Danio rerio: one gene and its partners. The protein of the gene in region 1 purifies or fractionates together with the protein of each later gene. This does not show direct contact. Links are inferred from orthologs where the notes say so. Each region holds a gene or a part of one and is shown in the gene's direction. Other genes may lie near its edges. The genes, in order: cdk5, fibpb, cables1, cables2a, tmem94, cdkn1a and pcna.

Region 1 (3,500 bases):
AATTGTATTTAAATTACTTCATATTCTTATTACTTTGCTTCATTACTCAAGTCATTTAATTACTTGACTACATATGATTACTTGGGTTCAGAAAATCTCAAAGCTTAAAAAGTGTAAGTTAAACTCTCAAATCTTTTAAGTCAAATGGAGCATTTTTAGCTTTATTTTAAAAAAATCTTAAAGTTTTTAGTTTTTATTTATTCATTTATTTTTAATTGACAAGAATGTTCAATCTTTTTTGGACAAATTTGCTGAAAGCCGATGATCCCCTTCAAATGTTGACTATTGTAAATACACACACTATATATACACACACTATATATACATACACTGTCCCGACTGGGTGTCCATTCTTCGTACGTGGATCACTGAGTTAGCTGGATTTGGATATTGACGATTTTACAGACCTGTAAACTGTGTTTGTAATTGTACCTTTTTTGTTTTGCTTTTGTCTTTTGTCATGTCTTTATGGGACCCTCTTGAAAATAAGATTAGTTTCATCTTATCCTTTAAATAAATTGAAATGGTTAACTTTCAATGTACCATATTTATAGTTAAACTGTAATTAATTTACCTAAAATGATAAGTAATCTGTTAAAGTAACTTTGTAACTATTTAATCCCAGCACTGAGTGTGTAAGGCACCATAATCAAGTTGGAATTGTTTTATTTCTGCTTGTGCTACTAAAAGCGCTTTCTCTTTAATTCTGTATTTTTGTGTTGTCTTCAGAACGGGGAACTGAAGTTGGCTGATTTCGGCTTGGCCAGAGCGTTTGGGATCCCTGTACGCTGTTATTCTGCTGAGGTCAGAGACGCCACTTTTCTTTATATTGTTGGTTTTATTTCCAGGTCTACATGAAATCAAAATGTACAATGTTTGTTTTGCTAGCGCACTTTCTTGTTCTTTGGGTGAACAATTAATCAGTGTAAGTAATTCGTTAAACAAATAAGTTTGTTTTGGTCTTCAATCTTCAATCAAAGTCTGAGCAATTGTTTCTGCATTTGGATTGGCTCCTTTTCTGTTGACATCAGTTTGACGGCTTCAGCCACAATATTCTTTACCACGCCCCTTTTACTTTTAGTGGCTTTGAGGAAATTATGCAAAATAAGGAAGCCCCGCCCCCTAATGATTATTCAGTTTCAGAGAGAAGTACATCAGCATTACTCTAATAAAAGTCTCAGTAACTTCCGGTTCGTGTAGACTATAGCAGTTTTAATCTTTTTGTTGGTTTTGTTCAGGTGGTGACGTTGTGGTACAGGCCTCCGGATGTACTGTTTGGTGCTAAACTCTACTCTACCTCTATCGACATGTGGTCTGCAGGCTGTATATTTGCAGGTACAACAAAACACTATTTTATTGTCTTGTAATATTGATAATAACTATAGTATATAAAGTATTATTATAATTTTTTTGTAGAACTGGCAAATGCAGGACGGCCTTTATTTCCTGGTAACGATGTGGACGATCAGCTAAAGAGGATCTTTCGATATCCTTTACATCCAGACGATCCTTTTAAGATTAATATGGATAAAACAGTACTACTGTTATTTATCTATAATTGTTATTAACAAAGTTTTTTTGGTGGTTATATGTGTAGTAATTCCATTGGGGGTTTTGCTGTGTGTATATATGAACAAGGGTAAAATAAGTCATGTTTTTTTTCTGTTGACATGAAATTGTATGAAACAGTAAACTAATAACACACAAGTTTCACTTTATGAAACAAATTATTAAAATAAATGGACTTTTCCTTAATATTCAATTTATATATATTATATATAATATATATTATATATATTATATATAATATATATTATATATATTATATATAATATATATAATATTATATATATATAATATATGTTATATATATATATATATATATATATATATATATTATATTTATTAATATATATATATATATATATATATATATATATTAATAAAAAAAAAAATATATATATATATATATTACCTCAAGTTAATATCTCAGGTTTCTACTATTATTTCAACTTAATAATAATAATAAATTATTTATTTATTTTAAGTGATTCAAATGCAATACATTTCAGTTAGTTACCAAGGCAACTGTTCTCACTTTTGGGTTAAATTAGCATTTTCTTCATAATTCCTCTGCCAAGTAATATAATTAAGTTGCCAAGCTTGTTGCTAAAAGTAGGCAGATTAATAAAGGGTGAGTGGTGGTAGTTTTTATAATAATAACCTGTGTGATTAACTTTAACATTCTGCCACATTGCTGGGAACGCCAACAGAAGAACAGTGGCAGACTATGAATAAACTTCCAGATTATAAGGTACATCACTCACCTGTCTGAAAAATAAACAGCGCACAGTAACAAGGGGAATGTGTGCACAGAAATGAGCAATTTGAGAAATACAGTGGTCTCTCGCGGTTCACCTTTCACAGCCTTGCAGATTTTCTCTGTATAATTAGACACTTTTTTTACAGCGCATTGTGTTCTACGTCCTGATTAGCACATTGTGTTCTGCGTCCTGATTGGCTGTAGACCATCTCCTCCGTGCCGTCTCCTGTACAGTACAAAATGCGTTCAGCTTGCTAAAATTAACATAAATCAAGCAGTGTGACTCTGAAGTATGTTTGCAAGTTTTCTCTCTACAAATCCCTGCACCGTCAAAGGCACCTGCGGAAGTACCCAAAAGGCTGAAGTAGATGCTAACTTATCGCACAAAAAGTTGGACTTCTAGACATGATAAAGACAAGTTTCGTAGCTGTAGGACACCATTACGGAATAAATAAATCTTCGGCTCTTTACATAAAAAAGGACGGAAATAACATAAAGATGACAGCAGCTATAAGCTTCAACAAAGTTACAATAAGGGTTGTAACTGTCTGCAACAAGACCATCGTAAGCATGGAGTCTGCTTTGGATTAGATTAGATTAGATTAGATTAGATTCAACTTTATTGTCATTACACATGTACAAGTACAATGCAACGAAATGCAGTTTAGGTCTAACCAGCAGTGCAACAGCAGCAAGTGCAGGATACAGGTATATATATTTAGCTTTGAGTATCAGTGATTGCAGGAAAAATGTTGATGCCTGTCTGAGAAAAGCCTATAAAGTGTGCAGTGAGGGGTTCTACAGCCTTAAAACATCTATTCATTCATTAATTTTCCTTCGGCTTAGTCCCTTTATAGCATATGAATTACACAGTGAATGCCCATCCAGCTGCAACACATTACTGGGAAACATCCATACACACATTTTTACACACATACACTACGGCCAATTTAGTTTATTCAATTCAGCTATAGCATATGTCTTTGGACTGAGGGTGATACCGGAGCACCCAGAGAAAACCCATGCCAACACGTGGAGAACATGCAAACTTCACACAGATATGCCAACTGACCCAGCTGTGACTCGAACCAGCAACCTTCTTGCTGTGAGGCGACAGTGCTAACCACTGAGTCACCGTGTCGCCCTTAAAACATCTATAATAATTGTAAAAAAATAA
Region 2 (2,699 bases), on another chromosome or scaffold:
GTTTCAAAACAGCTTTACGAAAGGTGCAAAATAATACATTACAACAAAATTAAGTTCAAGTTACTATCAAATATAAGTTATTATATCTAAGCATAGTTAACCTGCAGTTTTGTAGTATATAGGTGATGTCTACGTGTACATGTGCAATGAAGTGTATTAAGTGTATGTTTTGTCCTTAAAATTCTCTCTTCACAGGCCTTGGATCCCATATAAATGTACTCGTTATTTATTTGCCTTCAAGTGGTTCCAAACTCATTTGAGTTTTATTCTTATGTGGAACTCAAAAGAAGATATTTTGAAGAATGTTGAAAACCGATAACCATTGACATCTATAATAGGAAAACAAATACTGTGGAAGTGAATGGTCACAGTTTTCTGCCAATTTTCAAAATACCTTCTGTTCAGCAGAAGAAAGAAACTCAAACAGGTTTGAGACAAAGAAAGGATGAGTACTTTTAATTTTGAGGTGAACTACTGCATTAAGAACCAAGCATATGTCCCTGTTTGCACCATGTATTAACAAGTGTTTTAGTGATCTGATCACAAGTGTGCAGCGAGATACCACCTGGTTTACTACTACTAAATCACATTATAGTGAGTGTTTTTTATGTGCAATAGTGAATGGCAAAAATTTAAACAAGCTGAGAGGTGATGTACAGTATGACCATTTTTTTTTCGGAGAAGATTAATGGTTGAAGGTTTCACAAAACAAAAGATCTTTGAAAGGTGATAACATTCTTGTTTTCTTTCTGATACTTTCTCAGACAACATGATTGAAGATATGGACGTTGATCTTGAAAAAGATTTTCTACATGACTTGAAAGACTTGAAGGTCTTGGTGAATGATAAGGACTTGCTGGACCAACACAAAAGGCAAGCAAGTTAATTGCCAGATGTAATGGTGTGGACATGTGCTGTTTCTAACATTTCTTTTCTCTTTGCCAACACTAGTTTGGTGTGTGGACAGCTTAGAGGGAAAATAAAAGTCTTTAATGAGATGGAGGCCAGTTTTAAGGTGAGCAGCATGTTTTTTTAATTGTAAAGTCATATATAGATGATGATTTTAAATATATTGGGAATAAAATAAATGCAAAGATCAAAAGTGCCAGCAACAAGAATAGAGCAGTTTTAAATAAATGATTTTCTTTTAAAAAAAATTATTCTTTCATCAAGTGATCCTGAAAAAAGAATGGTAAAGGAACACTCTTTTTTTTGAAAATAGGCAAATTTTATTTCCCCTGCAGTTTAATTTTAGTTTAGCCATTTTGAAATTCATTCCACTAATATTCAGGTCTTTTGGGGGCAATTTTAGCTAAGCTTAGCATTAATTATTGAATCAGAATAGACCATAGCGTTGCACTCAAAAATGTTCATATTTAAAGCTTGGCTATTCTGTGGTTACAATGTGTACTAAGACTGATGAAAACTGAATAGTTGCTATTTTCTAAGTTAATTTGGCTTTGAATTATACCAGGGTTTCCCCATATTAATCAAGCAACTTTGCTGCTGTATTATGGCTGAAGCAGGAACAATGATGTTACACAGATTCTGCTGGTGCAAGTGTTGCGCTTGGTGATGGGGAGTATTTTCATGCACTGTGAAATATCATTGTGCCTGCTACAGACATGGTGAATCTACAAAGGATGGTACAAAACACAAAATGGGTCAGTTTAGTTTCTAATCACAATCTGGTATTGTAACACTAAGAAATAACATACATCAGTATAAAATACATAGTTTTATAATCTACAATTTACAGTATTTAAAAAAAGCTATTCTAAAAATTTAAAAAAATCTGAAATTAGGCAGATTTTAGGAAATCTGAGATTTTGATACAGTAAGATGAGGGAAAAGTTAATTCTAACCTCTAATATAAAAGAATAAACATAAGACTTCATATCTTTAACTATAATATTAGACTGAGCTCTTGTAGCTATAGCTCAGGGCTCTAGATTAATTCCTTCATTCATTTATATTTACATACATATACAGTCGAGGTCAGAATTATTAGCCCCCCTTTAAATTTTTTTGTCTTTTTTAAATATTTCCCAAATGATGTTTAACAGAACAAGGAAGTTTTCACAGTATGTCTGATAATATTTTTTCTTCTGGAGAAAGTCTTATTTATTTTATTTTGGCTAGAATAAAAGCAGTTATTAAATTTTTAAACCCCATTTTAAGGTCAAATTTATTAGCCCCTATTAGCAAATTTGTTTTTATTTTTCGATAGTCTACAGAAAAAAACATTGTTATACAACAAATTGCCTAATTACCCTAACCTGCCTAGGTAATCTAATTAACCTACTGTAGTTAAGCCTTTAAATGTCACTTTAAGCTGTATGGAAGTGTCTTGAAAAACATCTAGTCAAGTGTTATTTACTGTCATCATGGCAAAGATAAAATAAATCAGTTATTAGAAATGAGTTATTAAAACTATAATGTTTAGAAATGTGTTGAAGAAATCTTCTCTCCGTTAAACAGAAATTAGGGGGGGGGGGAAATAAACAGGGGGACTAAGACTTCAGGGGGGCTAATAATTCTGACTTTAATATATATAATATATAATTCATGAGAGAAACACACACAAGCAATTATTGAGTTTTGGTGGCATCTTGAACAAAAATCTTTAAAATGGTAAAACATGAAGCATGCAAGAAATGTTGCCTTAGTGAGTGAATGAATTCAACAGCTAGGCCTAT
Region 3 (3,500 bases), on another chromosome or scaffold:
TCGGCTTAGTCCCTTTATTAATCTGGGGTCGCCACTGCGGAATTAACCGCTAATTTATCCAGCATATGCTTTACGCAGCGGATGCTAAATTCAAAACTAAATTTTTTAATTCAATACTCACTCATAAATCTGATTCATTTGTGGAATTATGTATGATTTTTACTTGTGAATTCACACATTGTGTTTTTAATTTATGAATTGGATTTGTGCATTTATGAATTGTGTTTTGACTTTACCAATTGGATTGTGTAAATGTGAATTGTGCGACTTTTGTTTTGCAAATGTATTCTTCTTGAGACCATATCTGGCTCCATACTAGAGCATTGAGTTGAGTATGTGGCATTGTGTTTGGTGTTGTAGCCTGAAGAGAGAGATCCGGAAACTCACCCAGGAGGAGTTCGGCTATGAGGAGTCTACAGTGGCCATGGCCTTTGTTTACTTCGAGAAGCTGGTGCTTCAGGGCAAACTCAACAAACAGAACCGCAAACTCTGCGCCGGAGCCTGTGTCCTCCTCGCAGCCAAGATTGGAGGAGACCTGAAGAAACATGAAGTCAAGCTCCTGATCGACGTAAGTTTATTTATATTGTTGTAGCATCGATAACGCATTTTGTCACCACACATGCAAATAACATGGAACACAACCGAAGGATTGCAAGGAGACGCAAAAACTGGCTGGGATTTGCTTATTGTGCAGAACAGAGACATTTTGAAGAATGTTGGAAACCTGTAACCATTGACTTTCATGGTATTTTTTTTTTTTGTACTGTAGTAGTCAATGGCTATCTATTCCTTCATTGAAACATTGTTTAAAATATTTTCTTCTGTGTTCAATAGCTTGAGTCATTTAAATCTGTAGAGTGTGAAACTGAGAAAAAGGACTTCATTCTAAACACTTAAACTGGAAATCTGGCAACCAGAAAAACAATTAAACTTACTCAAGAAAACTTGTCTATATGATTAAAGAGTAAATGTCTCATAAATAACAATAGCTCATTTTCGACAATAAATTAAAATAAAAAACCCTGTTGCGATAACCTGGATTTGGAACAAGTAAATATTAAAAATAAAATGTTAAATAATAAAACTGGAAATCTGGCAACCAGAAAAACAATTAAGCTAACTTGTGAATGTTCCATAAACGTCAATAGCTCAACACACAACAATGTGGACTTATCGCAATATCTAAATAATAAAACTGGAAATCTTTCCAACTAGAAAGTCAATTAAAGCTACTTAAGATAACTTGTTCATTTGATAGAAGAGCGAATGCCCCATGAATATCAATTGCTCATTTTCAGCCATAAACAAAAAAATATAACCACTTTGTGATAACGTGGCCTTGTCGCAACAAGTAAATACTAAAAATAAAATAATAATCTGGCAACCAGAAAAACTGTTAAACTAACTAGTGAATGTCCCAAAAATATCAATTGTTCATTGTTAACTATAAACAAAAAAAGTAGCCACGTGTTGCGACAATGTGGACTTGGTACATGTAAATAATAAAAATAAAATAATAAAACTGGAAATCTGGCAACTAGAAAAACAATGGAACTAACTCAAGATAAGATATTAATAGCTCATTGTTAGCCGCAAAAAAAAAAAAAAATGTAACCACATGTTGCGATAGCATGGACTTGGAACATGTAAATAGTAAAAATAAAATAATAAACTGGAAATCTGGCAACCAAGAAAATCAATTAAACTAATTAGTGAACGTATTTTATTTGGCCATAAAAAAGGTAACCACATGTTGCGACAACGAAGACTTGTTGCAACGTTAAATAATAAAAACAAAACAATGAAACTGGAAATCTGGCAACCAGAAAAACAATGCCACAAAAATATCAATAGCTCATTTTCAGCCATAAACAACAACAAAAAAATGTAACCACAAGTTGCCACAACGTGGAGTTGGAACATGTAAATAATAAAAATAAAATAATAAAACAAAATCTGGCAACTAGCACATATCAGCAGCTCATTTTTGGCCATAAACAAACTTTCTGCCTTTTGCACAGCAGTAAAATAGGCCCCCTGAGACTAAAATCAGACATTGTAGAGGGAAAAAAGGCATTCTTTAAATCTCAATAGGGTGTATTTTTAGACGTTCCGCTGTTGTGTAAGGGTTGTCTTCGATTACTGTTATGTAACGAAACCCCCTGATCTCTTTCCATCTAGAAACTGGAGGAGAGGTTTAGGGTGAACCGTCGAGAGCTGATCGCCTTCGAGTTCCCAGTTCTGGTGGCTCTAGAGTTCAACCTGCACCTCCCCGAGCACGAAGTCATGCCGCATTACAGACGCCTGCTGCAAAACTCCTAGCGACAGCCCCATCAGGAGAAGCCCAGCGTCTCTCCTGATCTCCCCCAGAAAAAAACCCTATGCACATCGCCAACGATCATCTCCAGATGTTGGAACGAAGACACTATTCCACTGTTCTCCTTTCGGCCAAAGTGACAGCTCTTTCGTTTTGACTTGAAGAAGCTACTTTCTAAAGGGAAGACCTCTTTCCTAGACTGTTGATTTTTCTCAGTTAACTGGGAACATTTGTTTTCCTGCTTGCAGGTGTTAGACATACTGAGGGTTCTGTCAGCATTTGATCGGCCCATGTTGTTCGAATAAGGTTGTTTTTTTTCTCGATGAAACACAAAAGTAGAAATCGCTGATGTTTTCAATACAGTGGCGAGCTACAAAAACGCGACAAAATTGGTCCGTTTGACCAGTGCTCTGTTCTGAAGCCGTAGTTTTTTTTTTAAGTAGAAGACTCAACGTTCATCCAAAAATGAAAAACACGCCAAACTTGTATCGCTTGGTTTTATATGCAAAACACGTTGAAATTCCGAAATATTGACCGTACAGTGTAAATAAAACCTTTTACAGAAAACAGTAGTGAACAAGTAGAGCTGCACGATATTGGAAAAATCTGACATTGCGATATAAAGTTTTTCTGTCATATGTACTGCGATATATTGCATCTATACAATTTCACCTAATAATTAAATAGCACTACTTGGAAAGAATTTATAGACACACTTTATTTTAAGCAGAGGGCTTAAAAAGGGCCGGTGTCCAGCAAAGTTTAGCTCCAAGCTCAATCAGAGACACCTGGGCTAGCCAATCAATCTCTTACTAGGCATTCTAGAAACGTCCTTGCAGTTGTGGCAAGTTGGAATAAAAATCTGCAGGACAGCGGCCCTCCAGGACAGAGTTTGGGCACCCCTCGTTTTAGGGCTCATTTTAAGAGACTGACTTTTTTTTTTTTTTAAGTCACGCTCCCGACAGGTATTATTCCGCACTCGACCCCTGGAGGGCCGGTGTCCAGCAAAGTTTAGCTCCAACCCCAATTGGACAAACCTGGACTAGCTAATCAAGCTCTTACCAGGCTTTCTAGAAACATCCTTGCAGGTATGTTGAGGCAAGTTTCAACTAAAATCTGCAGGACGCTGGCCCTTAAGGACTGAGTTTGGGCACCCCTGATTTTAAGGCTTACTTCCCGCTAG
Region 4 (4,123 bases), on another chromosome or scaffold:
ACATGAAAACAGTGAATTGAAAAAATATTACACAACAATTACTTTTTTAATTAATTGCAACATTGGTTCATGGAAGAGACTTACAAAACATTGACAAATCTTAACATTTCGAAACTTTTGAGTGTATTTTGAGCAGGCAGATTAGGTTAATTCCCTGCTAACAGAGGATCAGTAGATTATAAAATATTAGCTGAAGCCCGATTACATCACATAATGTGGAACTGCAAGTGTATTTCAGCTCAGAAGTAGCACTCTCAGACATATTTTATTCTCAAACAATTGCCTAAATAATAGCAAACAAATGCATATGTTAATGAGTTTGGTTTTGTAAAATAAAGAAAATAAAGCAGTAGTGGTTATTCTGAGAAATACATATAATCAAGTTCTGATTATGGCTCTTGCTGCCAACATTTTATCAAACCAAAGTATCCGGAAATTGCTTTTTTCTTTATCCTTTTTTATTATCCTATGAGCTGTTACAGACGTCAGTCTATTTATATAACATAGTGGACTTTGCAGATAAGCTTCAACACCTGGAATGAGCTTAGAAAAACCTAGGCTTACATTTGCAGCATCATATAACAATAAAGACATTCTGACATTACAAAATACAGTAGAGCATTATATTGTAAATACATTTTCAAATTGCATAATAGAAAATGAACGAATAATTGCAAATGTATTGTGTTGACAAATCTAAATTGCATAAGGTGAGTACAGTGGGGTAAGTTGTTATTCATTCATTCATTCATTCATTCATTAATATATTTAGTTATTTATAATAATAACATTATTATTATTATCATTATTATTATTATTATTATTAACATTATTGTTATTATTATTATTTACATAAAATAACAAAAATAAATATTTTGAGAAAGGTTTATATTTATTTTAAGACACTATTTAAAGGGGAAACCTATATTTCCAATCACAACAAATAAAAATATGTTATATACAATAAAACAAATGTTAACATTTTATTCAAACCCAATGAAGCCAGAGTTGTTGTTTTTTTCATATGTGTGTATATATACCATTATAAATAATGTACATAAATGAGCAGACATAAGTTTAACTCTAATTGAAATGTAACATTTATCATAGAAAGCAACAGATGTCTAAAATTCCTAGCGTCGTCTCGTCTGCAGATTTGAAGCCAAATTGTTGTACAAATTTATGAACCAAGACCTCTCGTCCAATCCGCTACAGTAAAAACTCATTTATATGCAACTGTCAGGAATTCGAACCAATCAGGAGACAGAAGGCGTGGCTAGTCTCTCCGCCGGTGTAATAGCTCTGTCTGCTTTTAGCTTACTCACAGTAGAATGGCGGCCGCCGCTTGCGGTCCTCGCGGCTGTCCGAGGACTAATTCAGCCAAACCACACAAAGAACTGCTGCGAAAAAGCCGGGATTCTCGTCGCAGACAAGCGGCGTTGTTGTTTCTCACTAATATATCTTTAGATGGACGCCCGGTTTACAACCTGAGCAATGGACTCGTTGGCCCCAGGGAAGTCGACAGCCGGTGTGTGGATGTCGGCGCGGCGGTGGCGGGTCTCCCTCTGTCGACAACCAGCAGCTACGGAACCTTCACCCAAGTGTCATCCTCCATTAGCGGAGGAGCTGCTACCCCTATACCGAGGACTAACGTTAACACTTACCCTGCTCCTATGAGCCCTCCTCCGGCGCTTAACCAAGGGAGCAGCGACGTTTTCACGGAGGATGGACGATCAGATCCTTTGTCAGTCCAGGCTCCCCCTCTATCACCGACCGCTGGACCTCGGAATACGGCTTTGGGATCCAGTAAATCCCCCAGCCAGTTCCCGAGCTCTAACCCTCTGCCTGATCCGCGTCAAAGGTTGGTTTTGTTTTTTTCACGCAGGTTAGCAAACAATGACAGGCGTATTTGATTTCTTGTAACGCATTGTAAGCGTAAATTACATATTTTATAAAGATTGTGGGGCAAATGTTCAGTCTAGACATACACAAACCTCTATATAAGTGTATTTGTCATCAATTGGATATGTAATTGGCAAGCTAAAAGATTATTCACAAATCCTATTTCGTGTTTGATCAGACTATAAAGGGACTTTGGTTTGATGTTGTGTCATGTAAGTAAACAGCCATAACTGAATCTGGCCTTTTAACCAATGTTTACAATCGTTTATGACTTTGAGGCAGTGGAGATTTAAACGGTGCATATTACAGTGTCAAAAACAAAACAAAATAATCTATGAGGGGAAATGCTGACTTCCGCCTTATTGTCAAACTTTCATTTTCATCTTTGAGTTGTTTTCTAAGTTGTCTAAGAGTTTGACAGGAAATATTTCTGCGATATTTGATAAGCATGTCGGTATGGAAATGATACTCATTTCAGAATCTGAATCCTTAACCTTAATCCTTTATTTATTATAAAGAAATCGCTAGCAAATACTAAATAAGACATTTTTTATTTATATGTAAGAGGGCAAGAAGATATTCAGCAACTTGTCACTTAATGTTTTTTAAAGTTCTATCATCTATTAACCTTTAAAATCTTATCTAATTTTGTATTCATGTTTGTGGTTTTGTAATTGAATATTTATTTCTTGAAGGAAAACTACGTTTTATTATTATTATTATTATTATTATTATATATTACAGTATTCTTCTTTCTTTTTTGTTTTAACCCAAGTCCCACTCCAAGACCTGAACATTCCAAGGCAGCTTAATGCAATAATTAGGGTCAAATACGTTAATTAATGTCTGAAGTCATGCATGTCTGACGTAACAGTGATAATTGAATATTTATTCATAACAAAATAAAAAAATGCCTTAAAAATAGTTTCTGTTGCTCACACGGCATTAAATAAAAAATATGATGATGATCTTTTAGAGATAATCAAATTATGTATCCTTTTAAAAATACATTTTCTAAAACAATCTATATCATTCATTATATCAATATAAAGTATTTAGCATGTATTAAAAGTGTTTCTGTAACTGCATTTTTGTAAATTAACTAATAAAATATTACTTTCTATAGCATAAAGCAGTATTAAATTGGTTAATTTCTACACAACGTCTAATACACCATGACACTAACTTAGATTTGGGTCTCAGTCCAGTTTCAAATGAACCCTGTCATGGTTTAACTGAAGTATGAACACAAGAGCAATCAAACACATCTAAACTAACCAGGACATGATGTCATAAGATTTGACCACAAAGGAGTGACCTCTCTAGTATTACTTTTCATACTAACAATGCTGCCCATTGTAGTTCATTGGTTCAGTGTTAACACATTTTATAAGCTTTCTCAGCTGAGAAAATATCATCACAACCCAGCATGATGCAAAACAGTTTTGCATATTCAAATGTTCTTAAATAAAATAAACTTCATAAAAGTTTTTTTTTTTTTTACGTAAAAAAAATACAATGTGCATGTCACACACTCCAGGACTCCCAAGATTAAATAAATGAATACATTTGAACAAGTAGTATGAACATCCTAATACAGATTTGTTCAGGAATCAGGCTATTCAAGTGTTGATGATGTGGTGAAAATTCATATATATTAATTTCTCAGTTAAACCATGCATGACTACTTTGATGTTTGTTATTTTATCTTTCTATGAAATTGTGTAACTGATACGAGGGGACACAGCCGAAGGAGTGTGGAATGCTAGTCCCTTTAGTCCCTGAGCATAGGTCAGAAAGGTTTAAAAACCTAACATAAGTATGATATGGTCTGATAGGAGGCCAGACTGAAATATAGACGAGTAAAAAAATCAAACATGTGAAGAAGATAATCCAGGATGTATGTCCCTGGTGACTTTGGACTTTGGATATGGCCACAGCCATATCACCCTGCAGCCCAAGACCAGTTACTCACTGAAGCTAAGCAGGGTTGAGCCTGGTTAGTACCTGGATGGGAGACCACTAGGGAACACTAGGTTGCTGTTGGAAGTGGTGTTAGTGAGGCCAACAGGGGGCGCTCAACCTGTGGTCTACGTGAGTCCTAATGCCCCAGTAAAAGTGAAGGGGACACTACACTGTCAGTGGGCGCCGTCTTTTGGATGAGACGTTAAACCGAGGTCCTGACTCCCTGTGGTCATTAAAAATCCCATGGCACTTCTCG
Region 5 (3,500 bases), on another chromosome or scaffold:
CTGTATGCTTAGTAGTTGGCTGGCGGCGTGCAGGAATTACACTTATTACTAAACCATACTTGCATGCTATTTCAGACTAGAATATTCAGAGTAGCCTGGTCAACAATATAGGGAGCGCATCACAGGCTGTCATTGTTCAACAATGAACCATTGTGAATATAAAACCAACTTCACCTCAGTAAAGCAAGCTAGGTGAAATAGCGCTATCTACTTATGTTTTGTTGTTTAACTAAATAAAAATCTACATTATCAATGCTGTAAAAGGTCTCTTATGAAATTGAAAATTGTCACATCAATTGTTCACTGGTGGAGATCAGTGGCTGAACAACACTTCTGTGCATGTAACCCATTTGTAACAACATCTACATAGGCTTTGGATGAATAAAATACTTTAATTAATTAAAATTTTAAAACAATTTAAAAGAGAACATTACCTGTCTAAAAGAAATACCCAAATGCAAAAATAACAATATTGTTATTGTTAACAATAATATGCAATATTGATTAAAGTTGAAAAATTTTAAAATTTTAAAGTTTTGATTGAGCACTTGTTTTTCACACTCTCACTCGTGTCCACGTGATCGATGTCTGTGTGAACCGTGCATCAGCGGATCTGCGCAAACAGATGCGCAGTTGTTCAAATCTATATTTGCTGACAGACAGTTTGGGCTACTTATCAGAATTATGGGAATTATCAGCTCGACAATATTAAATTGGATGAACATTTTTTTGGTTTTATGTCTTACCTAGAATATAAAAATACATAAACACATTTAAATCGTTTACTTTAATTATCACTATTGCAGTGTAGAGAGACTTTCAACCATCACAAAAAATGTTTCTGAAGACAATCACCTTCTACACCTTCTCGCGTTACATTTTTAAAAAAGTAACTCCGATATTATTACTTTTTTTTTTTAAAAGTAATGCATTACTGTACTTGCTACTTAGAAAATTAATATTATTATATAACTTGTGTTACATGTAATATGTTACCCTTAACACTGGGAGTGTGAAATTAAAATTAAAATCTTGATTAAAACAGTTTTTTAAATGTCACACATGTACAGTTTTTGCCTAATAACCTAAAAAAGCAATTTGATTGTTTATTGACAATATTTGACATTTGTAATGTGGACAGTTTTGATTTTACATAGACTTCATATTAATGCCAAGAACTAACCATCTTCAGTTCCCGCAGTGCTGCTCTCCTGTAGCTGCTGCCTCAAGCTTCAACTTGTTTGCTTCAAGTTCTAAACCTCCAGTCATTCAGTCAATTCAATTTCCCCTCTCCCTTTTACTGCTTTCTGCTGCAAGGTGCATTAATCTTGTTCTTGTGCTTTAATGAAACTCCACTTAATTTCTAAATGCAGCTGGATAAACCCAAGACTGGATAGGATAACACTGCTTTTTTTCCTGCTTAACCTACCCAGACTCTGCGCGTATGTGTGTGTACGTGTGTACGTGTGTGCGCGTGTCTGTGTCTGTGTTTTGAACCAGGTTTCAGGTTTCATAAATCCTGACACTTTTGCAGAGCCATTCGAAACCAAGAGCTGCTGATAGATGGATTTGAGTTTCTGTTGAATATGAGACTCATGTTGTGCGCATGTGTGTGTGTGTTATGTGTGCATGTTTACAGGAGATGCTACGCTGTGTGTGGAGACACCTGGTCAGTGTGTTGAAGGGAGAGTCCCAGACCCTGTGTTATACCTCCAGTCTGCTGCACACATTGGGTTCAGTCACTGTGAGTGCTCCCCCTGGCGTCACATACGAGATATTAGACTTCCTATTTCTAGATTGATGGAAAAAATAATTAATGTTCACTTTAAGATTGTACTTATGTTTTATTTGAACCTTGTAATCAATTTACAGAAGGAGCTGACATTGAGGAGAGCAGTTGTAAAAACAAATAACAAGTGTTTACAATGAATAAGACGAGAGCATGTGTGGAATCCTACAAATAGGCTAAACATAAACATCTTTAAAGTGCATATTCTTGTACATCCTGTCTTAGCTGTCTTTTAAATGCCGTTAAATAGATTATCAATGTTTACAATATTTCTGTGGCACTTGTGTGGTAAACTCTTAAAGGGATAGTTTACCCAACATGAACATTTCCGCACTATTTCTTCACACTCAAGTTGTTTTAAACATTTCTAAATTTGTTACTTCTGTTGAACACAAAACAAGATATTCTAAAGCAGTGTTTCTCAACCACGTACCTGGAGGACCACCACCACTGCATGTTTTGGATTTCTCCTTTGTTTGTCACAAACATTACAGGGGTTTCAGTCTTTGCTAATGAGCTGATGATCTAAATCAGGTGTGTTTGGTTAAGAAGACATGGAAATATGCAGAGCTGGTGGTCCTCCAGGAACATGGTTGAGAAACACTCGCTGTGTCAAATGGCATGCTATGTACATATGCACTTACACACTCAACAGCATAGTATATGTATGTCGTGTTGTCCCAAATGGAACACTAACGTTGTTTTATTAAGAGGAAATTCAAACCGTTTCCCAGATGACATTTGACGGTTGCCAAAATAGTGAAATAAAGGACCAAAGTACCAAATAAGACCTGCCATGCGTATAACCACATTCACCATCGGAAAGCGCTATAATCAATCTTGTATCAGAATTTTGCTTTCACAATCCAAAATAAATAAAGTTATCAAATATGTGTGCCCGAGAGCTCTGCCCCTTTTACTATGCGAGCAAAGCTGCGAATGTTGAGTGTGTTAAGTGTCCATTATTCCACACTTAAATTTACCGGTTGAGTAAGTGCATCATCAACGTAATTAAAGTGCACTTATTATTTTTAGAGTTTTCAGTGTGAATGCACTACTTAAACTATTTATACTACAAAATGGCGAAGAATTGTGTGCAAGTATGTGATTTTGGGACGCACCTAAAGTTCTAAAGCATGTTAGAAACCAGCTGCCATTGACATCTGTAGTAGTAACAAAAAATACTGTGGTAGTCAACGACTAACCAGTTACAACAGAATGAAGGAACAGCTTTGGAGCAAGTGGAGGGAGAGTAAACGATGACAGAATTTACATTTTTGGTATCGCTCTAATCTGATTTAGTTTTACTGAAATTGTGCACCCTAAAAAATAAACTTCTGTAATCATTTACTCGTCACCACATTTTCCAAACCTGCCTTCTGTTAAACACAAAAAAAGAGATTTTGAAGAATGTTGAATATTGATAGCCCCTCACTTCAGTAATATTTTTTTACTGCTATAAATTTATGTCAATGGCATTAGGTTTCTTACATTCTTCAAAATAGCTTACACTTTGTGTTCAACAAGAGCAGTAACAGCAAAAAAGAAAGTCATATAGGTTTAAAAGTACTTTTGTTTACTTTGTTAATTTCTTTTTAACGTGATTTGACGGAAGCAGTGGACCTTAGTCATGGTAGTGGCATCTTTTAAATTTTAAATGAAATAAAAATAAGGCATCATGGATTAAAGTACATAGTTTTTTTGGATTTGG
Region 6 (2,933 bases), on another chromosome or scaffold:
CAGCGTGAGTACCGGGCGGCGCTACGGCGCGATCTGGAGGACGCATCGCGACGCTGGAGCTTCGACTTTGCGTCTGAGAAACCACTAGAGGGCGGAGACTTCCACTGGGAGGGCGTGTCCGGCGTGCGCGTGCCACTACTGTACCGCGCGTGTCAGGAAAAGCAGCAGAAACGGCCCTGTGAGGCTCATCAGCCCGGACAGTCCGCCGCTGGAAAGGAAAACATCCCGAAAACACCAGAACGATGTGCTGCACTCCCGCATGAAGTGGAGAAAACCCCAGAGAAGAGCAGCGAGCTGAAGCGCAAACAGACCAACATCACAGGTCAGACCTCTTTATTATTATTATTTAGTATTGTTATTATTTATGTATATAGCTATGTTTGTTTGTTGATTATTTTTTTAAATAACAAAAATTAAAGAAAGATAAATAAATAAATGTCGTAGTGTTTCTATAATGCAACTCTCTGATGATCTGCTTTTATGCATTTTTCTATAATACCCTATTAAAAGTGTTGAATTTTTAGATGTAAAGTTTTAAGTTTCTGTTTTTAAATTTTTCATCTAATATTTATATTTTAATGCATTTTTTAAATTGCGTATTTATTTTATATTGTACTTTAATCAACCAAAAACTTCAGCTAACAAACACGACACAGATTGATTTACATTATCGCATATTTGAATTATATACATAATCGCATATTGATAGATATTTTTACATTAATACAAATTTAGAATTAATTTTTTTGTTATAATAATGAACCACTGAGTGTAGTATTATTGTAGTAATATTAAACTGCTTGTATTCTGATGTAAATTTAAAGCGTGAGTTCGACTAATAATAAACAAATAATATCGTCTCTCTGTTCTCAGATTTCTACCAAGCCAAGAAGCGTCTAGTGGCCACGCCGCGCAAATCCGGCCAGTAGCTGAAGGAGACACACACACACACAGATAAACTCTTGACCTGCATCTACCTTCATCTGTCTGGAGCTGCATTCGTCTCGTAGCAGCGTTATTGACAGAAAACGACCTTCAGGAACCAGAGACGACACCGTTTATTCCGTTTTTATTTCAACCGTTTTATGTCAACGGTTAACATTTACAAGTGGAAATGTTCTGGAAAGATCCATTCCTCAGTCTTCCAGAGATTGTCTCTCGACGGGACCACAGAATCATGACAACTGTTTCATTACGAACAATATAAAGCGCTGATTTTTATTTCAGCGTGCACATATTCACATTGCCTTATTGCACAAAACGTAGCTAATGTTTTAAAACTCTAAACATTTGGTGCCAAATGTTGTTTTTTCCTCTTCTTCTATTTATAATTCTAACCCTTTATGTTATTTTACACATAAACCTTCATGAAGCTGCCAGTAAGTTCTCACATCTTTATCGTAATTGAGCTGCAATTACGTTTTTCTACTACATTAAACTTTGTTTAAAAAAAAAACACTTGGCGACGTTCATGAAACACGAGCAGATAGAACTGAGAGAACAAATTCATTCTTGCGTTTATTTTAACGAAAACATTTTTGCACAATTTTTTTTATGCAGTTTTTGTGTTGAAATAAATGTAGGCTTAAAGTTTACGTGCACAAAATGTTGTAAGAATTATGCAAATCTTTTGGAAAACATTTTTTTTTGTTAAATTTGTACAGAATTAGTATAGAAATGCTTTAAGAATAATTATAGCAACAAACTTATTCTACCAAATATATAAGAAATATTGCAATGACAATAAAAAAAGTTAAAAAATAAGAAATAAAAAAAACTGAAAATTAACATGCACATTTTTTTTACAAAGAATTAAATAATTATTTGCGCAATTTATTCGTGAAATTATTTTGTTGCATTAGGTTTAGCGTGAAAATCTAATTGCGTGAAACGTCAATTCGAGAATTAGAATTGACGCAATTTTACGCATTTCAATTTTAATACAACATAGATCAGATTAGACCACAAAAGACTGTTAAAACACAGCATTTTTCGTAACGAATTTGCGCAGAAGTGTGTTCTGCTCTTGCTCCATGAACGCTGACACTACATCATATTTACAAACGCTCTACAAATACATTAAAATAAACTTCATAAGAAGTACGAACACCAGCTTTCATGTGTTTCCTAATCAAGATCTCAGCTCTGTCGGCTTTCTGAAGTTTAGCATTCAGCTCTTTACCAGCTCTAGAACTCTGCTTGTTTTCTGCGACCCGTCTGTAAATATCCTGTTTATTGGATAATTCGCCGTCGATTGAGAATTGCACTTGGGGTTTCTTTTGTTTTGTTTTTATTTTTTGGAGTAGTGTAGCTTGCACAGGTCTGTTATTGTTAAAGAGCTCAAAATATATGCTGTATTTATTTTACAGATTAATATTGTATTGTAGATTTACATGTAATTGTTCTTGTAATAAAGCTGTTTATGATATAAAATTGGTTTCTTGTTACTTTTTTAATTGTCAGAATTCCTTTAGGAAACAGTTCAGAATTGTGAGATGTAAATTTAGATTTTGAAGAATGAAAGTTAGAATTAGGAGAAGTAAAAATTACAAACAAAAAAATATATATTGTGAGATGAAAACCCAGATTTTGTCAGAATTATCAGGTGTGGATTTACAAATCCAAGAAAAAAAAGTCAGTATTCCAACTCAGAATTCAAAGGAATAAAAAGTTGGAATTTTGAAGAGTGAATTGATAATACCAAGAAAAAAGTCAGTATTTCAAGATGCAAACTGGGAATTCCAAGCAAAGATGCCAGAATTGTAAATTTTAAACATAACATCAGAACTAAAAAAAAAGCAGTATTACAAGATGCAAACTTTGAATTCCAAGCAAAAAAATAAAACCGTATTTCAACATGTAAACTAAGCATTCCAAGAAAAAAGTATGAATTCCAAGATGCAAACGAAAAAAATTGGAATTCGAAGAAACAA
Region 7 (4,051 bases), on another chromosome or scaffold:
ATTATCCTTAACTGAAGACCGCACCTGCAGTTACACCATAGATATATACATATATATATACATACACACACACACACACACACACATACATACATATATATATATATATATATATATATATATATATATATATATATATATATATATATATATGCTCAAGTATCCCCAACTGTATCCCTTCTTTTGTTTGTGTAACACATATATGTATGTATGTATGTATGTATATATATATATATATATATATATATATATATATATATATATATACATACATAAATGTGTTACACAAACAAAAGAAGGGATACAGTTGTGGGATACTTGATCATGCGCACATCAACATAGCATGATTTTTGTGACACAACAGTATTTTACGTTACTGTGATGGGTCGATTTAGGATTTGGGTAAGGTAGACGTTATTAAAAAGCATTATAATGGGTATTCATAAATATTATAAGTAGTTATTGTTAACTGAAGACCGCAGCTATATCCTTTAGCAACAAAACATGTGTTACACAAAAAGTTGCGGATACTTGGGCATGCGCACATCAACATCAATCGTTGGTACACTGCACAACAATAATTAATATTTTACGTTACTGTGACTTGTCGATTTAGGGTTTGGTTAGGGGTATACGTTATTAAAACGCACTGTAATGGGTATTTATAATTTTTATAAATAATTCTCGTTAACTGCTGACCGTAGCTGTATCCCTTCTAGCAACAGCACAGTAATTTGTCACAGAAACAAAAAAGGGATACAGGTGCGTATACTTGGGCATGCGCACATCAACATAGTCTGATCTTTGGTAAACTGCACAACAATAATTAATAATTTACGTTACTGTGACTGGTCAATTTAGGGTTTGGTTAGGGGGTATACGTTATTAAAACGCACTGTAATGGGTATTTATAAATTTTATAAATAATTCTCGTTAACTGCCGACCGTAGCTGTATCCCTTCTAGCAACAGCACAGTAATTTGTCAAAGAAACAAAAAAAGGGATACAGTTGTGGATACTTGGGCATGCGCACGTTGACATAGCATCATTTTTCACACTGTACGACAATATATAATATTTTACACCACAGTGACGGGTCAGTTTAGGGTTTGGGTGGGGGTAAAGGTTATTAAAACGCACTGTAATGGGTATTCATAAATGTTGTGAATAACTCATACCTTCTGACCAAATTGCGCCCTCTTTTGGTCAGTGTCCGCAGTTCTGTCTGCGTTCCAGGAGGAGTCAAACGTCAGCGGAAATGACGAAGGCAACAGTGGGTCAGTTTAACAAAATCCCGGCGAAAGCGCGCGCAGTTACATTCAGAGCCTCGCCAGAACAGTGGACAGCACATCTGCACCGTGCCTCCTCTGCATTAGTACCTGCTAAACTCTAGGATAGTTTAGGATTCTGCTTTCCTGTGCTGGAAAACAAGCAGTTAACCAGGCCGCAGCTTGTGTCGTAACAGGATTAGATAACTTTAGTTCCTCCTACTCTAAACTAAGAAAGCAGCACAATGTTTGAGGCACGTCTGGTTCAGGGATCTATCCTTAAGAAGGTCCTGGAGGCTCTGAAAGACCTGATCACCGAGGCTTGCTGGGATGTGAGCTCGTCGGGCATTTCTCTGCAGAGTATGGACTCCTCTCATGTGTCTCTGGTGCAGCTGACGCTCCGGAGTGACGGGTTCGACTCCTACCGCTGCGACAGAAACCTAGCCATGGGGGTCAATCTGAGCAGGTAAAATCACTGACTAAATCAAGCGCCTTTTGTGTTATTTGACTCGTATTTACTTGGTGAGTGAAGTTTGAACATGTCTGCGCATGCCCGGGGCTGCGCCTCTACACAGCAGCGCGCCATTTTTAGACTATAAAGTGACAAAAGTATTTTATTTACAGTAGTTGTTATTAAAGTATGCCGTTTTACGGTTGTGTTTTAAATAGGCTATCAGTTTAATTTGGCGCGCAGTTTCCTGCATTCGTCCCACGCTCTACTGATCGTGACGTCACTTGCGCGCGCTTAAGCTTGTTGGCGGGAAAGAAAATGCCGGGTTGCTGAATGACAACATGGCTCTGGTGTTAGACAAAGAAAACCTGCTTAGACACTTTTTGTGTATGCCATGACTGTTTCGAATGTAAATGGTAAACCATTTTACGATCAATATGGTGTTTTTCTACCTGAAGTGAACGTGTTTTGATTATTATTCATCTGTTTCCTAGCATGTCGAAGATTCTGAAGTGTGCTGGAAATGAAGACATCATCACACTCAGAGCTGAAGACAATGCTGACGCCTTGGCACTGGTCTTTGAAACGCTCAGTAAGTTAACTTCTTTTTAAACTAGGAATAGCAATACTTTTGATAGTGTACAATTAAAAAAAACTTTTTTTTATTATGAATTTATTTTATGTTGCTAAATTTATATTTGCAGTATTTTAATATCGATTTATCAGCAATACCTGTTAAAAACATGGGCTTTGGTTTAAAATGAATCATTAAAGTTAAGCTAAATAATTAATACTTAATATTTAAAAATAATTTTCTAATAATAATTTTCTCCAAAAATGTAAGAATGAAATTCGCATAGATACTGGAGCCATTTTGTGGTTAATAACATCACATAAAAAAAATGCTTCTAGTATGGATTTTCTTCACCATGTTATCAACTATTACTATGAAACCAAAAGTTAAGTTTTGCTGGAGAGCTAATAATCCATACTAATATTTACATCTCATTTCAGATCAAGAGAAAGTGTCCGACTATGAGATGAAACTGATGGATCTGGATGTGGAGCAGCTTGGCATTCCAGTAAGACTTTATTATAACAGGGTGTCTGCAGGGTCATTAAAAGTTGATAAATCAATTTGGTATTAAACAGCCTTAACTGTTGTTTTACAAGATATAATTGTTTTGGTCATTTTATGATTATATAATGTGTAGTTGTGTGCTAAAGTTTGCCTAAATTTAATCTGTGTGGTTTATGAAATTGATAAAATCCTGCTAGATTTGGCATCACACTGCTTTGTCTACTGCAGTAATAAAGGCAAGCCTATGTTTCCTGCTGTTCTATAGGTGCCATCTGTTGGGATTAGCATTTTTATTCAGTACATGACCGATTTAGTTTAGGATTCGTTTCTTACAATCAGTATTTAGTAAATATACTACAAGTTGAATTGTCACCAATGTTAAGTTAAAACCTAAAATGGCGATGAGGTCTTAAAGTTTATTGAGTTTCCCTCTCTTGATTCCTGTTTATTTCTGATATGATCGTGGATGTTTGTCTGCAATGATCATGCTTTATTCTCTTCCCCTCAGGAGCAGGAATACAGTTGTGTGGTGAAGATGCCGTCGGGTGAGTTTGCCCGCATCTGCAGGGATCTGTCACAGATTGGTGATGCTGTCATGATCTCGTGTGCCAAGGATGGCGTGAAGTTCTCTGCCAGCGGAGAGCTGGGCACAGGCAACATCAAGCTCTCACAGACCAGCAACGTCGACAAGGAGGATGAAGCGGTAACATACTATTCATTTAAGGCTGCACGATACTGGGAAAAATATGCAATATATATTCTATAATCAAACATTTCTCTGAAAAAGTCAATTTAATTAGCTGTTTTAAAAAAATTATTTCATGATTTTGCAATAAACAAGTAAAATATATTTTCCAGATCTAATTCAGACTTAAAACTGTCAAGATGCAAACCTTTAGTCTTTAAAGCACTATTAGTGAGAATCATTTTTTAGCTCTGATTTCACCTTTAAGCCAATCCAGCCAATAGCAGAACAGCAACTACTTAGGAGGCGGGGCTAAAGGTAGTAAAGGCCCCATCTGATTGATCAGATTTATATAATAAGCAGCTTTATTTTCATTTAGCACCTTTAAAAGTAGCATCTCGGGGCACTTTACAGACATAATGTGCAGCTGTTAAAGATGCATACAGGATGAATGCAAAAAAAATGCAATGAATATAATCAAACGCTTACAATAATAATAAATCTAAAAAGCTACCCTAAAAGAGTAGGTTATAAGTGATTTAATAATTATCTGGGATTTTATCAGA

What was found.
Region 2: the proteins of cdk5 (region 1) and fibpb purify together in Homo sapiens (affinity purification with mass spectrometry; 7 studies listed by BioGRID and IntAct, counting the BioPlex papers as one, with this or other methods). This does not show direct contact. The link is inferred for Danio rerio from reciprocal best matches to the Homo sapiens genes CDK5 and FIBP.
Region 3: the proteins of cdk5 (region 1) and cables1 purify together in Homo sapiens (affinity purification with mass spectrometry; 7 studies listed by BioGRID and IntAct, counting the BioPlex papers as one, with this or other methods). This does not show direct contact. The link is inferred for Danio rerio from reciprocal best matches to the Homo sapiens genes CDK5 and CABLES1.
Region 4: the proteins of cdk5 (region 1) and cables2a purify together in Homo sapiens (affinity purification with mass spectrometry; 6 studies listed by BioGRID and IntAct, with this or other methods). This does not show direct contact. The link is inferred for Danio rerio from reciprocal best matches to the Homo sapiens genes CDK5 and CABLES2.
Region 5: the proteins of cdk5 (region 1) and tmem94 purify together in Homo sapiens (affinity purification with mass spectrometry; 5 studies listed by BioGRID and IntAct, with this or other methods). This does not show direct contact. The link is inferred for Danio rerio from reciprocal best matches to the Homo sapiens genes CDK5 and TMEM94.
Region 6: the proteins of cdk5 (region 1) and cdkn1a purify together in Homo sapiens (affinity purification with mass spectrometry; 5 studies listed by BioGRID and IntAct, with this or other methods). This does not show direct contact. The link is inferred for Danio rerio from reciprocal best matches to the Homo sapiens genes CDK5 and CDKN1A.
Region 7: the proteins of cdk5 (region 1) and pcna purify together in Homo sapiens (affinity purification with western blotting; 3 studies listed by BioGRID and IntAct, with this or other methods). This does not show direct contact. The link is inferred for Danio rerio from reciprocal best matches to the Homo sapiens genes CDK5 and PCNA.

Annotation. Positions count from the first base shown.
Region 1 is NC_133199.1:37,952,665-37,956,164, reverse strand, and holds part of cdk5 (cyclin-dependent kinase 5), read left to right. Parts: intron 1-729; coding exon 730-804; intron 805-1,238; coding exon 1,239-1,335; intron 1,336-1,416; coding exon 1,417-1,486; intron 1,487-2,253; coding exon 2,254-2,314; intron 2,315-3,500. UniProt on the Homo sapiens protein: Proline-directed serine/threonine-protein kinase essential for neuronal cell cycle arrest and differentiation and may be involved in apoptotic cell death in neuronal diseases by triggering abortive cell cycle re-entry. Interacts with D1 and D3-type G1 cyclins.
Region 2 is NC_133196.1:27,046,622-27,049,320, reverse strand, and holds part of fibpb (acidic fibroblast growth factor intracellular-binding protein B), read left to right. Parts: intron 1-764; coding exon 765-873; intron 874-951; coding exon 952-1,015; intron 1,016-2,699. UniProt on the Homo sapiens protein: May be involved in mitogenic function of FGF1. May mediate with IER2 FGF-signaling in the establishment of laterality in the embryo.
Region 3 is NC_133177.1:4,629,900-4,633,399, forward strand, and holds part of cables1 (CDK5 and ABL1 enzyme substrate 1), read left to right. Parts: intron 1-360; coding exon 361-568; intron 569-2,181; coding exon 2,182-2,322; 3' UTR 2,323-3,500. UniProt on the Homo sapiens protein: Cyclin-dependent kinase binding protein.
Region 4 is NC_133198.1:33,838,653-33,842,775, forward strand, and holds the start of cables2a (CDK5 and ABL1 enzyme substrate 2), read left to right. Parts: upstream 1-1,323; 5' UTR 1,324-1,331; coding exon 1,332-1,861; intron 1,862-4,123. UniProt on the Homo sapiens protein: Unknown. Probably involved in G1-S cell cycle transition.
Region 5 is NC_133187.1:35,542,304-35,545,803, reverse strand, and holds part of tmem94 (transmembrane protein 94), read left to right. Parts: intron 1-1,639; coding exon 1,640-1,744; intron 1,745-3,500. UniProt on the Homo sapiens protein: Could function in the uptake of Mg(2+) from the cytosol into the endoplasmic reticulum and regulate intracellular Mg(2+) homeostasis.
Region 6 is NC_133197.1:620,015-622,947, reverse strand, and holds the end of cdkn1a (cyclin-dependent kinase inhibitor 1), read left to right. Parts: coding exon 1-322; intron 323-873; coding exon 874-929; 3' UTR 930-2,433; downstream 2,434-2,933. UniProt on the Homo sapiens protein: Plays an important role in controlling cell cycle progression and DNA damage-induced G2 arrest. Involved in p53/TP53 mediated inhibition of cellular proliferation in response to DNA damage.
Region 7 is NC_133185.1:46,058,752-46,062,802, reverse strand, and holds the start of pcna (proliferating cell nuclear antigen), read left to right. Parts: upstream 1-1,251; 5' UTR 1,252-1,513; coding exon 1,514-1,734; exon of another isoform or gene 1,735-1,787; coding exon of another isoform or gene 1,788-1,819; exon of another isoform or gene 1,820-2,009; intron 2,010-2,213; coding exon 2,214-2,311; intron 2,312-2,733; coding exon 2,734-2,801; intron 2,802-3,308; coding exon 3,309-3,503; intron 3,504-4,051. Other genes in the region: E3 ubiquitin-protein ligase TRIM69, read right to left, coding at 1,788-1,819. UniProt on the Homo sapiens protein: Auxiliary protein of DNA polymerase delta and epsilon, is involved in the control of eukaryotic DNA replication by increasing the polymerase's processibility during elongation of the leading strand.